Ovis aries: one gene and its partners. The protein of the gene in region 2 purifies or fractionates together with the protein of the main gene of each other region. This does not show direct contact. Links are inferred from orthologs where the notes say so. Each region holds a gene or a part of one and is shown on either strand. Other genes may lie near its edges. The genes, in order: PRIM2, MMS19 and PRIM1.

The links.
Region 1: the proteins of MMS19 (region 2) and PRIM2 purify together in Homo sapiens (affinity purification with western blotting; 5 studies listed by BioGRID and IntAct, with this or other methods). This does not show direct contact. The link is inferred for Ovis aries from reciprocal best matches to the Homo sapiens genes MMS19 and PRIM2.
Region 3: the proteins of MMS19 (region 2) and PRIM1 purify together in Homo sapiens (affinity purification with western blotting; 3 studies listed by BioGRID and IntAct, with this or other methods). This does not show direct contact. The link is inferred for Ovis aries from reciprocal best matches to the Homo sapiens genes MMS19 and PRIM1.

What each region holds. Positions count from the first base shown.
Region 1 is NC_056073.1:3,042,244-3,046,622, forward strand, and holds the start of PRIM2 (DNA primase large subunit), read right to left. Parts: upstream 2,840-4,379; 5' UTR 2,707-2,839; intron 2,097-2,706; 5' UTR 2,088-2,096; coding exon 1,934-2,087; intron 29-1,933; coding exon 1-28. UniProt on the Homo sapiens protein: Regulatory subunit of the DNA primase complex and component of the DNA polymerase alpha complex (also known as the alpha DNA polymerase-primase complex) which play an essential role in the initiation of DNA synthesis.
Region 2 is NC_056075.1:18,509,009-18,512,654, forward strand, and holds part of MMS19 (MMS19 nucleotide excision repair protein homolog), read right to left. Parts: coding exon 3,612-3,646; intron 3,202-3,611; coding exon 3,124-3,201; intron 2,464-3,123; coding exon 2,325-2,463; intron 2,083-2,324; coding exon 1,928-2,082; intron 1,671-1,927; coding exon 1,592-1,670; intron 1,184-1,591; coding exon 1,058-1,183; intron 865-1,057; coding exon 783-864; intron 473-782; coding exon 372-472; intron 249-371; coding exon 99-248; intron 1-98. UniProt on the Homo sapiens protein: Key component of the cytosolic iron-sulfur protein assembly (CIA) complex, a multiprotein complex that mediates the incorporation of iron-sulfur cluster into apoproteins specifically involved in DNA metabolism and genomic integrity.
Region 3 is NC_056056.1:162,928,628-162,932,273, forward strand, and holds part of PRIM1 (DNA primase small subunit), read left to right. Parts: intron 1-997; coding exon 998-1,067; intron 1,068-1,474; coding exon 1,475-1,560; intron 1,561-3,646. UniProt on the Homo sapiens protein: Catalytic subunit of the DNA primase complex and component of the DNA polymerase alpha complex (also known as the alpha DNA polymerase-primase complex - primosome/replisome) which play an essential role in the initiation of DNA synthesis.

The DNA of each region.
Region 1 (4,379 bases), on a different chromosome or scaffold from region 2:
ACACCAAGATTCTCAACTGTTTTTAGCACTAGAAAAAATTTGAAAAACAGAAGAAAGGTGGGGGGAAATGTATAAATGCAAGGTAATCTTAAAAAACTAAATCTAAGACAAATCTATGGATAGCAATTCCATAATTACTTTTTATAACAATACTTAAGCTTCATTTTCTGCAAGCACATTACATGTTATATATGTTTATAAGAGAATAACCTCCAACCATATGCAGAAAATAACCACATCCCACAGCATAACCTCATACCAGGGATTCTCAACTGGAAGGGAGAGAGGGATGGGGACAATCATGATGTACTGAGCATCACTGCTGAGGGATGCACAAGTGTGTCAGCGTGCGCATCCAGCCCTCGTGCTGAGCCGGTTGTGAGGCGGGTGCTTCACCAACTCAGCACAGACTCTTCGGAAGATAGCCAGCCCCTTCCTGATGAAGCAGAGAAGAAGACACAGCAGTAAAGCAGCAAACAAGCCACTCTGACTAGATGCTTCGCTCTGTCCAAAGGCTCCTGAAGCCCCTGTCAACTCTTCCTCGGATGAATTCTTCTTCCATTGGTGAGAAAAGAGAGATTAATTTGAGAATGAAAAACTTCTGAAATGAATCCTGAGGCCATGTCCAGCAGGGACTCCGTATTATGGTCTCCCAAACCAAACTCATTCTCTGCCCCTCAATCCTGCTCCTCTTCCTGCCACCCACCTCTAACAGCAGCATTTCTACCCACGAGATCAGCCACCCTGGAACTTCAGCCCTCCTCACCTGATCCCCTGTTCCTCACACCCAAGCAGTCATCAAACCCTGTCACTTACACCTCCTTGGTATCCCTTCCATGTCTCCCTTCCTGTCCCTGCCTCACCATCTCACCTCCAGGGCCAAACTGAAGGGACCCTTTTCAACCACTTAACCTCTATGAGGCATCGCAGAACCCATGCTAAGCTTCCCAGAACCCATTCTCCCTGCCCTTTACTCTTTTATTCAGCAAACAGATAATACAGGTACTCTGTACTAGCAATTCTCACCCAGCTCTTCTAAGAATGACTAACAGTATCTCACTTCTACTTCTGATCTCCCCATCAGGATATGCTTTGGAACATAAACTCTGCAGGCAGTGCTATTGTTGCAGTTGACACCGAACTTCTTTCTTTCTTCCACCAACACAGAGAAGACAAGCAGGCTCAAGAAAATCGCTACATCCTTCTTACACTTATCACAGCATTCAGTTCAGTTCAGTCGCTCAGTCGTGTCCGACTCTTGCGACCCCATGAATCACAGCACGCCCTCGCAGCGCGCCAGGCCTCCCTGGCCATCACCAACTCCCGGAGTTCACTCAAACTCACGTCCATCGAGTCGGTGATGCCATCACAGCATTAGCGTGGTACAAAACACCCTTGGTTACCCACAGCTCTCCACCCACCCTGAACTTGCCACCTTTCCCTCCAGTGTTTCACGCTCTCTGGTGCTTCCAACTCTTCCTTCAGACCATTAGCTCAGCTTGCAAAAACCGCTCCCTTCCTCTCTATTGAGAAACTGCTACTCGTGCTTCAAGATCCAGGTCACATTTCAACTTTTCTTAAGAAGTTTCACTTAATCAGATTAGGTCAATCATTCCCATCTGTTTCAATAACACCTCTACTAGAGCACTTAAAATACTAAACTATAATTACTGCTTTGGACATCTGTCTCCATGTATTAGAATACAGCTTCAACAAAGATGACAATTTCATTACTCAGCTCAAAATCCCTACCGCCTAGAATAAAGTGGCACTCAATAAATATGCACAGTACATGGAAAAAATGAATGAACAGCAAAATCTCAACGAAAAACCTGAGCAAATATTAAAGAAGGAAATAAATTACTCTAATTTATCTCTACAAGGTATAAGTGAGGTTCTCAGGAATACAAAAATTCAAATTCAAATCACTCACATTTAACTCTATCGATAGCCAACGTTTCAAATTCTGTCAAAGATACGTTTCCAGAAGGTGGCTGCAAGTAAAACTGAAGGCTATGTGGGTAGCAAGCATTCCTCTGGTCATCTGCCAACCTCAGTTTCCTCCGTTTTCCTCCAGAAAACTCCATCTTGTTACCCTGGAAGCAAGCACAAAAAACGGTGGGAAATGGAGTTAAAAACAAAAAATAACTCCACACACAAAGGAAAACATTCTGCCTGGCAACTGATTCTGAAGAGCACGCACAACATGTTGAGTCGTGTCCCTGTCTTCCAGACCTTCGACAACACCGCTGGAACCGCGGTACACAGGCGGTGGGGAGAGGTGAGCCCTGCGGAGACGCGGGCAGCGGTCGTGACTTCCCGCAACGTCCACAGCAGGGGACGCGGGCGGTTCTCCAGGCGTCTGCGCGCTCCGCCTTGAAGGCTCTGAGCTCTCCAGGGTCAGGCTGAGACTGCCCGAGGGCTGCGACCCCGAACTCGGAGGAAAGCGCGGGAGCTTCAGGCTAGGAACGCGACTCGGTGGGCTTCTTCCCTGACAACCCCTGAAAACTGACGGCTGTCTCCGAGGCGCCGCACGTCGGAGCTCTTCTCCGGAGCGTCCAGCGGCGCCGAGTGACACGCCGCCTCCGCGGTCCCTCAGCCAACGCGGTCTGTCAGCCCCGGCACCCGCCTCCGCCTAGACAAGCAACCAGGACGGACTCGCGCCCCCCGCGCCCGCCGCTCTCCCCATTCTCCAGGCTCGCACACCTCAACCCCAGGGTTACTGTTCTTCGCAAACCCCGGCGGCTCCTCTCACCTGCAACTACACCAAACACAGATAAACACGACAACAGCTTTCCTCAGGTGGCGGGAGAGTTCGAACGGGACCGGAAGCGGAAATGGCTGGACCGCGGAGCCCGCCCTCTCCCCCAAGCCCGCCCAGCCCAGGCTTGCGCATGCTCAGTGGGGCCCTCTGGGTGGGGCGGTCTCTGGATTTCTGTCGTAGGTATTGCACTATGTATCGTGGCCGTGATAAAGCGCTGGATTAAAGATCCAGTCTCTAGGGGTCTGGAAAAGGCAGTGCACCCCACTCCAGTACTCTTGCCTGGGGAATCCCATGGACGGAGGGGCCTGGTAGACTTCAGTCCATGGGGTCGCTAAGAGTCGGACACGACTTCACTTTCATGCTTTGGAGAAGGAAATGGCAACCCACTCCAGTGTTCTTGCCTGGAGAATCCCAGGGACGGGGGAGCCTGGTGGGCTGCCGTCTATAGGGTCGCACAGAGTCGGACATGACTGAAGCGACTTGGCAGCAGCGGCTGTAGGGGTCGGGGTTCGAATCCCACCGCTGCCAGATGATTTTGGGCTTCCCTTGTGGCTCAGCTGGTAAAGAATCCGCCTGCAATGCAGGATACTAGGGTTCGATCCCTGGGTCGAGAAGGTCCACGGAGAAGGGATAAGCTTCTCACTCCAGTGTTCTGGCCTGGAGAATCCCATGGCCTGTGTAGTCCGTGGGTTCGCAAAGAGTCGCACACGACGGAGCGACTGTCACTCTCACTGCTGCACTACGTGTGCGTGGGTCTGAGCTGTCGGCGCCGGGTCAGCACCGGCTCCAGACTGGGACCCTGGGTGATAATCTCAGAGAGCCCGGCGAGCGGGAGGCCCGGCTCACCGCTCACAGAGGCGGCGGCTAGGCGGCCTGCGTACCGCGGGTCAGCCCGCTTTTCTCCTGGTCGGCGAGCCCCTTCCGCACTCTCGGTGCGCGGCGAGGGTCCGCAGGGGGACCTCGGTCCAGCCGGGACGCACGCCTTGCGCGTGCGCACTCAGGAACGCTCGGCGTCTGCGGAAGGAGACCGCGGGGCGCCGGACGGTGACCGGCGAGGCCGCGGGAGGCGCGGGAGGCGCGGGAGGCGACGGCCCCCACTGTGCGCGGCAGCGTTTCAGAACTGAGGCCGCCAGGTGGCGGGTCTCGCTCACAAAAGAGGCCTCTAGAAGTCCCTGTCAAGGTAGGAGGGGAGGAGCCGTCAAGACGTTCAAGGTTTCGGAAATGCAGACTGAGCTGAAACAGTGTCAAGCTTCAGAGCATCTGCCTAGCCTGGGCCAAACAGGGGTTGACCCTGACCTTGTACCAGAACGTGTTCTGAGGGACTTACATGTCAGTTCATTGTATTGCCATAACCCATTTAAAAGGCTCATTTGAAAAGACCCTGATGCTGGGAAAGATTGAAGGCGGGAGGAGAAGGGGACGACAGAGGTTGGGTGGCATCACCGACTCGATGGACATGAGTTTGAGCAAGCTCCGGGAGCTGGTGATGGACAGAGAGGCCTGGTATTCTGCAGTCCATGGGGTCACAAAGAGTCGGATACGACTGAGTGACTGAACTGAACCCATTTAAGGTTCTGTTCTGTTCAGTTGCTAAGTCGCTTCTGACTCTTTGTGA
Region 2 (3,646 bases):
AGCCATCACTGGAACCACTGTTTTAGACACATCAACTCCAAAGCTGACTGCAGCTCCCTCTCCAGCCCAGCTCCTCAGTGACTGTTTCCTGTAGTCACCTCTGTTCATCTGGCACAGATGCTGCAGCAGAAGAGGCAGCGTCTCCTTGACGATGCTGGGATGTGTGGATACAGCTGATAAGGCTTGCAGACAGCGTGGATGTTGGGAGCACCTGGTGGGCCCATCCCCTCTAGCCAAATCTGACTCCTCTGAAAAGCAACCCAGGAGATCAGATTTCACTGTGTGATGGCAAGCATGCAGGAAGCCCCTCCACCCCCGCCCCACCAACTTCCCTGGGAAGGAGCAAGCCACAGAAGCTCAGAGACACGTACCTGAACACAGATCCTCAGCAAGCTTGGGCACTAGGTGGCTGCTGAAGGCCACGGGGTAGAGAGTGGCCAGGCTTCCTGATGCCTCCAGTGCTGCCACCCTGCTGGGGCACAGGGCAGGTGAGCATTAGCTGAGCTGGCTCCGTGGCTCTCTTGCCTAGGCCTCCCATTCGGCAGATTCAGGAGCGTGGGCTTCTGAGACCACCTTTCTAAAAAAGCAGGATTCGAGTACCTATACCACTAAGTTGGACAGGGCTTCTTAATGCCCCCCAAAAGAGAACATTCCCACAACAATCGCTCCAACCAGTTAGCAGCCAGAGCCAAGCACAGACTCCATGTCCTCTGGGAAAGCCAAGGGTCAGGAGCACAGCGGCCTGGAATAGCTGGCTCTATCTTGCTGTCTTATATTCTCACCAACTCTGGGAATCCTCCTCCAGGAAGCTCAGTCTGTACAGGTGACCCACTGCTAGCTCCAAATCCCCAGAAGACAGGAGATCTGTATTAGAAGGAGACATAAACCTCATCTTTCTTCCCCAGCAGCCACCACCATCCTTCCCAAAATCCTATTAGAAATCCCAAATCATACAGAATTGTGAGAACCAGGGAATAAAGACTGCTCTTTATTTAAGACAGAAAACCACAGGAAAGGGACCAAAAGCTCCGATCTTTTCTCTTTCCCTTAAGTGTACCTGGCTGAGCACCCAACACTGTGAGTGTGCGAATGCCAACAAGCTGAAGCTGGGTGTTGGGGTCTGCCAGGGCCATGAACATCAGTGAGCACAGCTGGTCCTTGAAGCCACTCAGAGGTCTTTCATCTAGGGAGAAACAGAGTCCAGGTTAGAGGGAAACCTCATTCAGCACCGATACAAAGATAACTAGGGGCAGATTTTTTTTTTTTGGCTGTGCAACATGGAACATGGGATCTTAGTTCCCCAACCAGGCATCAAACCAATGCCCCCTGCAGAGGAAGCATGGAATCCTAACCACTGGACCAGGGAACTGCTGGGACAGATTTAAAGAATTTAATCCATTGGATATCCAGGAAGTACACTAGGAAAAAAAATGAACAGGGCTCATTTCTTAAGTGTTCTCTTGTGCTACAACTTGAGAACAACAGGTCGGCTGTTCTAGGCTCCTTCTCTATAGCACTCCCGGCCTGCCCTCATTTACAGGGCTGCAGCGCTCAGCACCCCCAGGACAGCACATCTAGAAGGCAGCCTCACCCTTGTCTTCATAGCTCCATTTCTGCTGCAGCTTCAGGAAACCCAGGATCATTTCAAGGATTGTCCTCCGCTGGTTGCTCTGTAACGTTTTAAGGGGTTATGGGGGTCAAAGACTACCTTTTAATGGATTTCAGTCTTGCTACTATGGAAGTGGGGAGAATTATCGTTGTACGTAAGAGTGTGAAGAAGAGAGTGAACAAGGGAACCAGCAGCAGCTAATGGGAGCAAAACCCAAGATCTGCTATATCTAGGCCCAAGCACAACATAGCTTTCTCTATGAGAGCGCCATGCTAGCCCAGGGTCCCATCACTTCCTAAAGAGATTCTGCCTCCTTACCTGGCTGTGCTTGTGGAACTGTTCCAGCAGCAGAGGCAGCACGTTGCTGGTGATGTGGTCGCAGGCCCGGGCAGATGCACCTGCAGCCGCCTGCAGCAGTTTGGCGCTAGGCCACACCAGTTTCATGTCCGGTTCACACAGATGGTGCCTGCAGTCTAGAAAGGCAGCACATCACAGACCTGGGGAGTAGGCTGAATGCTGCCCGGTTCCCCTGCAGGTCATAGAAGCTGGAGGCTCAGCCCCAGGACTAGCAGTTATCACTTAAATTTCTTTCAATTCAAAGCAGGGCTCCAGTATGCAAATCACTGAACTTGGGGGCACTCGTGAAAGGTCACTGGCCTTAAGGAATTTCCCTCTGTTGTGTGCTCTCCCCTTTCTAGCTGCCATGCCCCATTACCCTGTAGAATGTTGCTAAGGAAGGAGTCAAGGAGGTCCTCAGCATCGGCCCTCAGCACAGAGCGAGACAAACACGCAGTCAGGGAGTTGAGGGCCGCCAGGCCCTCGGCCTCTACCCGCTCACTTGCCGTCTGGAACACCTGTCAGGGAGGGATCCCATGGCTACTGAGGTGAGCCTGCACCAGGTGAGACCCTACCCACCTGCTGCCTATTTCCTTTTGGGGAGAGGGTGGTGAGAACCTTTAGGACACAACAATGGAAATTAACCCCTCACATGAATTTCATCTCAACTGATGCATTCTCACTAGGTCCTTAGTACCGCTAGGATATTGATACACATAGTTCTTTTTTTTCCTTTTCAATTCTGATTATGCTGCACAGCATGTGGGTGATGTTTCCCGATGAGGGACTGAACCCATGCCCCCTGCACTGAGAGCATGGAGTCCTAATCACTGGATCGCCAGGGACGTCCCCACGTACTTTTTGAGAAACTGAATACCGACCTTGAGTGGTGGTTGTTGGGATCCCTTTCCCCAAGTCTGTTCCTCTCCCCCTCTACTCAGAGTGACCTATGCCCTTTACCAAGGAAAGACAGGAAGTGGGCACTATGGGAGACTGATCATGTCATCAGGAAGCAGCTGGCCCTACCCATTTCATTCAACTAAAGTATGCCCCTTGGCTCTCCTGCTGAATAACCAGGCACAGCAACAGAGGGAAAAGGACAGGGTGTGTTATCTCCCCTCATGCCTGACCTGACAACTAGGAGTTAAGAGTAGTCAGTTTATCTAAGTGACACTCACCTCTCTGCGGATAGAAGCCCAGAGGCTGGGAAGGAAGTCCTTTAGTTCTTTCTGTCCGTACACGGCACAGCAAGCATTCTGCCAGGGAAAGCAGAGGTTAACGGCAGTCTATACTCTTAGGCTTCCTGGGACGTGCAGCCCCCTCAGCATAATGGCACCTGAAAGAGGCGGCTCTCAGCAGTAAAACCAGCAGGGTTTCATAACCATCCTACCCAGATCACTGAAAAGCAGGATCTCGCCCCAACTGATGAAAACAAGCATGAAGAGGGAGCCCTGGTCAGCCTTTCCTCAGCTGCCACTCTGTTACTACAGAACAGGGCAAAACGCAGCTGCGGGCTGTAGGTCAACCTACAGGCTGAGACCCTGGGTATCCCTCTCCTGACGCCCAGGGAACAGCTCCCCGGCTCTCTAAGAATCAGTCCATAATCCTGTAGCATTGCTAAATTGTCTAAAGACAGCTGGGTCCTCAAAACAGAAGAATCACTCACCAGAGTCTGCAGAGAATCCAGCTTGGCACTCAGAA
Region 3 (3,646 bases), on a different chromosome or scaffold from region 2:
TTCAGTACTCCCACATTGCCTAGTTTTCTTTAATAGTCTACAATGACTCTGTAGTATATACATTTATATAGCCCCTTTTCAAATCTGCCAGTTATGTGTTTTTAGTTTATTTTGGTAACAAGCTTAATGTTTCTTAATGTTTCTCTTAATATTCTAAAGCTTCAGTGAGTATTCCCCTTATTTAATATTCAAGATTTGAGTAACTAATTACATTCACTCGTAAGTATACATTTTTATTATATCTTTTTCCCATTAAATGGCTATAGTCTTTTCACTCTGCCTTCTACCCGTAACTCTCAATTTCCTTAATTATTTTGTTAGTCACCTGCCATTCTTTAAATTCATTATCTCATTTTTCAGATATGAATTTTATCCTCATGTCCCAGATGTGGATTTTGTAAAAGGGTAATATGTCATTTATATTATTTCCAAAGATGCTCAACACATAGGTGTCTGTTTTGATTTCAGCAAATTAAAGTAATGAAGTAAACTACTTCCATCTATTTTGTGTTCCATCTTCAGGACTCACTAAATTTGAGATTGTTCCGTACGTACATATTGGAGGATATAGGGAAGAGAAAAACAGAAATCAAAATGGATATAAGAGCAACTAGGTAATAGCTCAGCAGTCTTTCACATCTATTTTTTGGTGTTTTTAGAGAAATAAAAGGCACTAATATGAAAGTACTTTTTTTTAAGACCCAATTTTATTCTGTTTATGTATTTTTTGAAACTTTTTGGCCACATGGCATGTGGGATCTTAGTTCCCTAGGCAGGAAGAGAATCATACCCCCTGCATCGGAAGTGTGGAGTCTTAACCATTGGACCTCCAGGGAAGTCCCGAAAGTACTTTTATATTTCTAAATAAATATTCTTAACAGATTAGTGTAACCCTCTTTCTAAGCCTTAAAGTTTTAGCCAAAAATAACTCATAGGACACAGCCTATAATTATTTGTATTGTACAATATTCAGCTTATAATTTTTTGTTTTTCACAGGTCGCATTTCTGTGCCTATTGACTTACAGAAAGTGGATCAGTTTGATCCATTTACTGTTCCAACCATAAGGTATGTTCCAGATCACTGATCACTCCTTTTTTGTTTGTGACTTGTAAATGTGAAGTAAATTGGATTAGATCCCTTCTGGAGAGGCAGCTTCTCTGAGGCTGTATGATGGTGCCCTTCCAGAAGAGCATTTCCTCGTGAGTTCTACAGAACACAAATTTTTCAGCTACTATTATGCAAAAAAAAAAAGTTCAAATAAGTTTGAGAAGTGTTGACTTAAGCAAAATTTCCTAGTCTTTAATATGCTAACATGCATGGAAAACTCCAGAAAGAGAGTATGATGTTTAGAATATCCCAAATTCATTTGGCCACATTTTTTTCACAGAAAATCTTGTGAGATTCATGTGCTTTCATACACTGGGTAATATTGACCAAGAATCAACTTTTAAATTATCTTCTATTATTTGTAGTTCCATTTGCCATGAGTTGGATGTTATTTCTACTAAAGAAGAAAAAGAGAATGGAGCTGAATCTGATATTAAACACAGAACCAGAGGTAGGTTAGTATATTGAAGTCTCACTTTAACATAATCTTTTTATATTGACGTCTTTCTGTGACTCAGTAATTAATTTGCCTTGGATTCAGACCAGAATGGATCATTATTTATCCTGAAACCAGCTCAGTAGCAAATAATATGATCACAATGTTTCTCTCCTTCATCAGTTGCCCAAATGGTGCTGTTGAATCCAATGTGAGTCTACAGATATTTACAAAATAACATTTAATGCCAGGATCTATACTGAAAGATTAAATTGTCAATTGATTTTGACAGTTGTTTGAATCTCACAGTCTTAGATTCAATAACTATCTACTTAACAACTACCATGTATGCAGTATTTCGTTCTCTACTTATTTTTGTATCCAGATGAGTGTTATGTTAAATATATGTCTAAACTGTAACTGAATTGTATATCCAATAATTTGAAAGAGATGGGAATATAAAACGGCCTGTTCAGTTCAGTTCAGTCGCTCAGTCGTGTCCGACTCTTTGCGACCCCATGAATTGCAGCACGCCAGGCCTCCCTGTTCATCACCATCTCCCTGAGTTAGTGAAAGTCAAATCTTATACCAATACCCAAGAGACACTATAGCAATAGTTCAACACTACTTTCTATGATGAAAATGTCATGCACTGTCCAAATGGTAATCACTAGCCTTTATACATGACTTTTGAGAACTTGAAATGTGAGAAACTGAATTTTTAGCTTCATTTAATTTAAATAGCCTCATGTGACTCGTGACTACTGTAATGGGCAGAACAGATCTCTGATTGATCTTTTTAGTCAAATGTTGCTACCTTGCTTTCAGAATCCAAGCTCAAATGTCACTTCATATATTTCAGCTCTAACATAAACAAGGTACATTCCTCCATCAATATTTATAGAATGATTACAAGCATTCTGTTTAAAATAATGGACAAAAGTCTCTAACAAATAAACTGGAAAATAATAAACTGGAAAAAAAAAGAACTCAGGGAAAATAAACAATGCAAGGAACAGAGGAAACCTTTTTTTAAAAAAACTGATCTCCTCAGAGATTAAGAGAAGACAGTGTATCCATGAAGCAAGACCAGAATGCTATGGGGAAAAAAACATTCAGAATAAGAAAGAGGTCTTAGAAATCAAAAACATAATCGTTAGAATAAAACTTTCACTGGAAGGGCTGGAAAAGAAAAGAGGAGACTTCCTAGAAAGTAGTGAAAAAAAAAAAAAAAAGACAAGTTAGTTATGTTTTTTAAGGAGGAAAAAGATAAAATTAAAGACTGATTCAGGAGGTCTAATATCTGACAGAAAAAGAACAAATAAAATAGGGAGGGAAAAAATTGCCAAAATTATATATGAAAACATCCCAGAAATGAGCCCTTTGTTAAAAGGGCTCAGCATAATGAGAATGATATGCCTACACCAAGGCACATCGTTTTGAAATTTAACAGAATTAAGAGAAGATCTTAAGAGCTTTCAGACCCCTTCCTACAGTCCCTCCCCACAAAAAAGCCATGGACCTAGGAAGAATGGCCTTAAATTTCTAAGTAAAAATGGAAGTATTCATTTTTAGAAGTAAGTGCTAGAAAAGAAAAAAGTAGTTGCCATTCAAGAAGATGGAAAGGTTAGCAGGGAGCTGCTATTTTTTTCCACAAAAACCTGTTAATACTATTTTACTTTTTTTTTTTTTAGCAAATTACTTTTAACACAACTTTTTAAATTTAATAATAAAAGAATAATAAATTTAATAGTATCTCTTTGTGGACATCTTTTTATTTTATTCAGAGGTTTTAAGAAAGCAAGTTTTGGCTCCCTATAAGGAGAAGCTTTATAATAAATATCTGTTCGGAAATAAACTGCTCTTTCAAGTATTCATACAGGCTATTAGCCGTGAGTAAGTCAGGGATGCTTTAGATGAGGTGGGAGGCTGGCATAGGTGATATATATAAGTTCTTATTATTTCTTTAATTTCTATGATTCTAAACTTTTGTCCATTTTCATATTAGTACCATTTGTTCCTTCCTTTCTGCTTCCCAAATACTGGTATGTTCTCTACCTTCCTCACTGACTATCTAATTAAATCTTTTTTCTAAGACCCA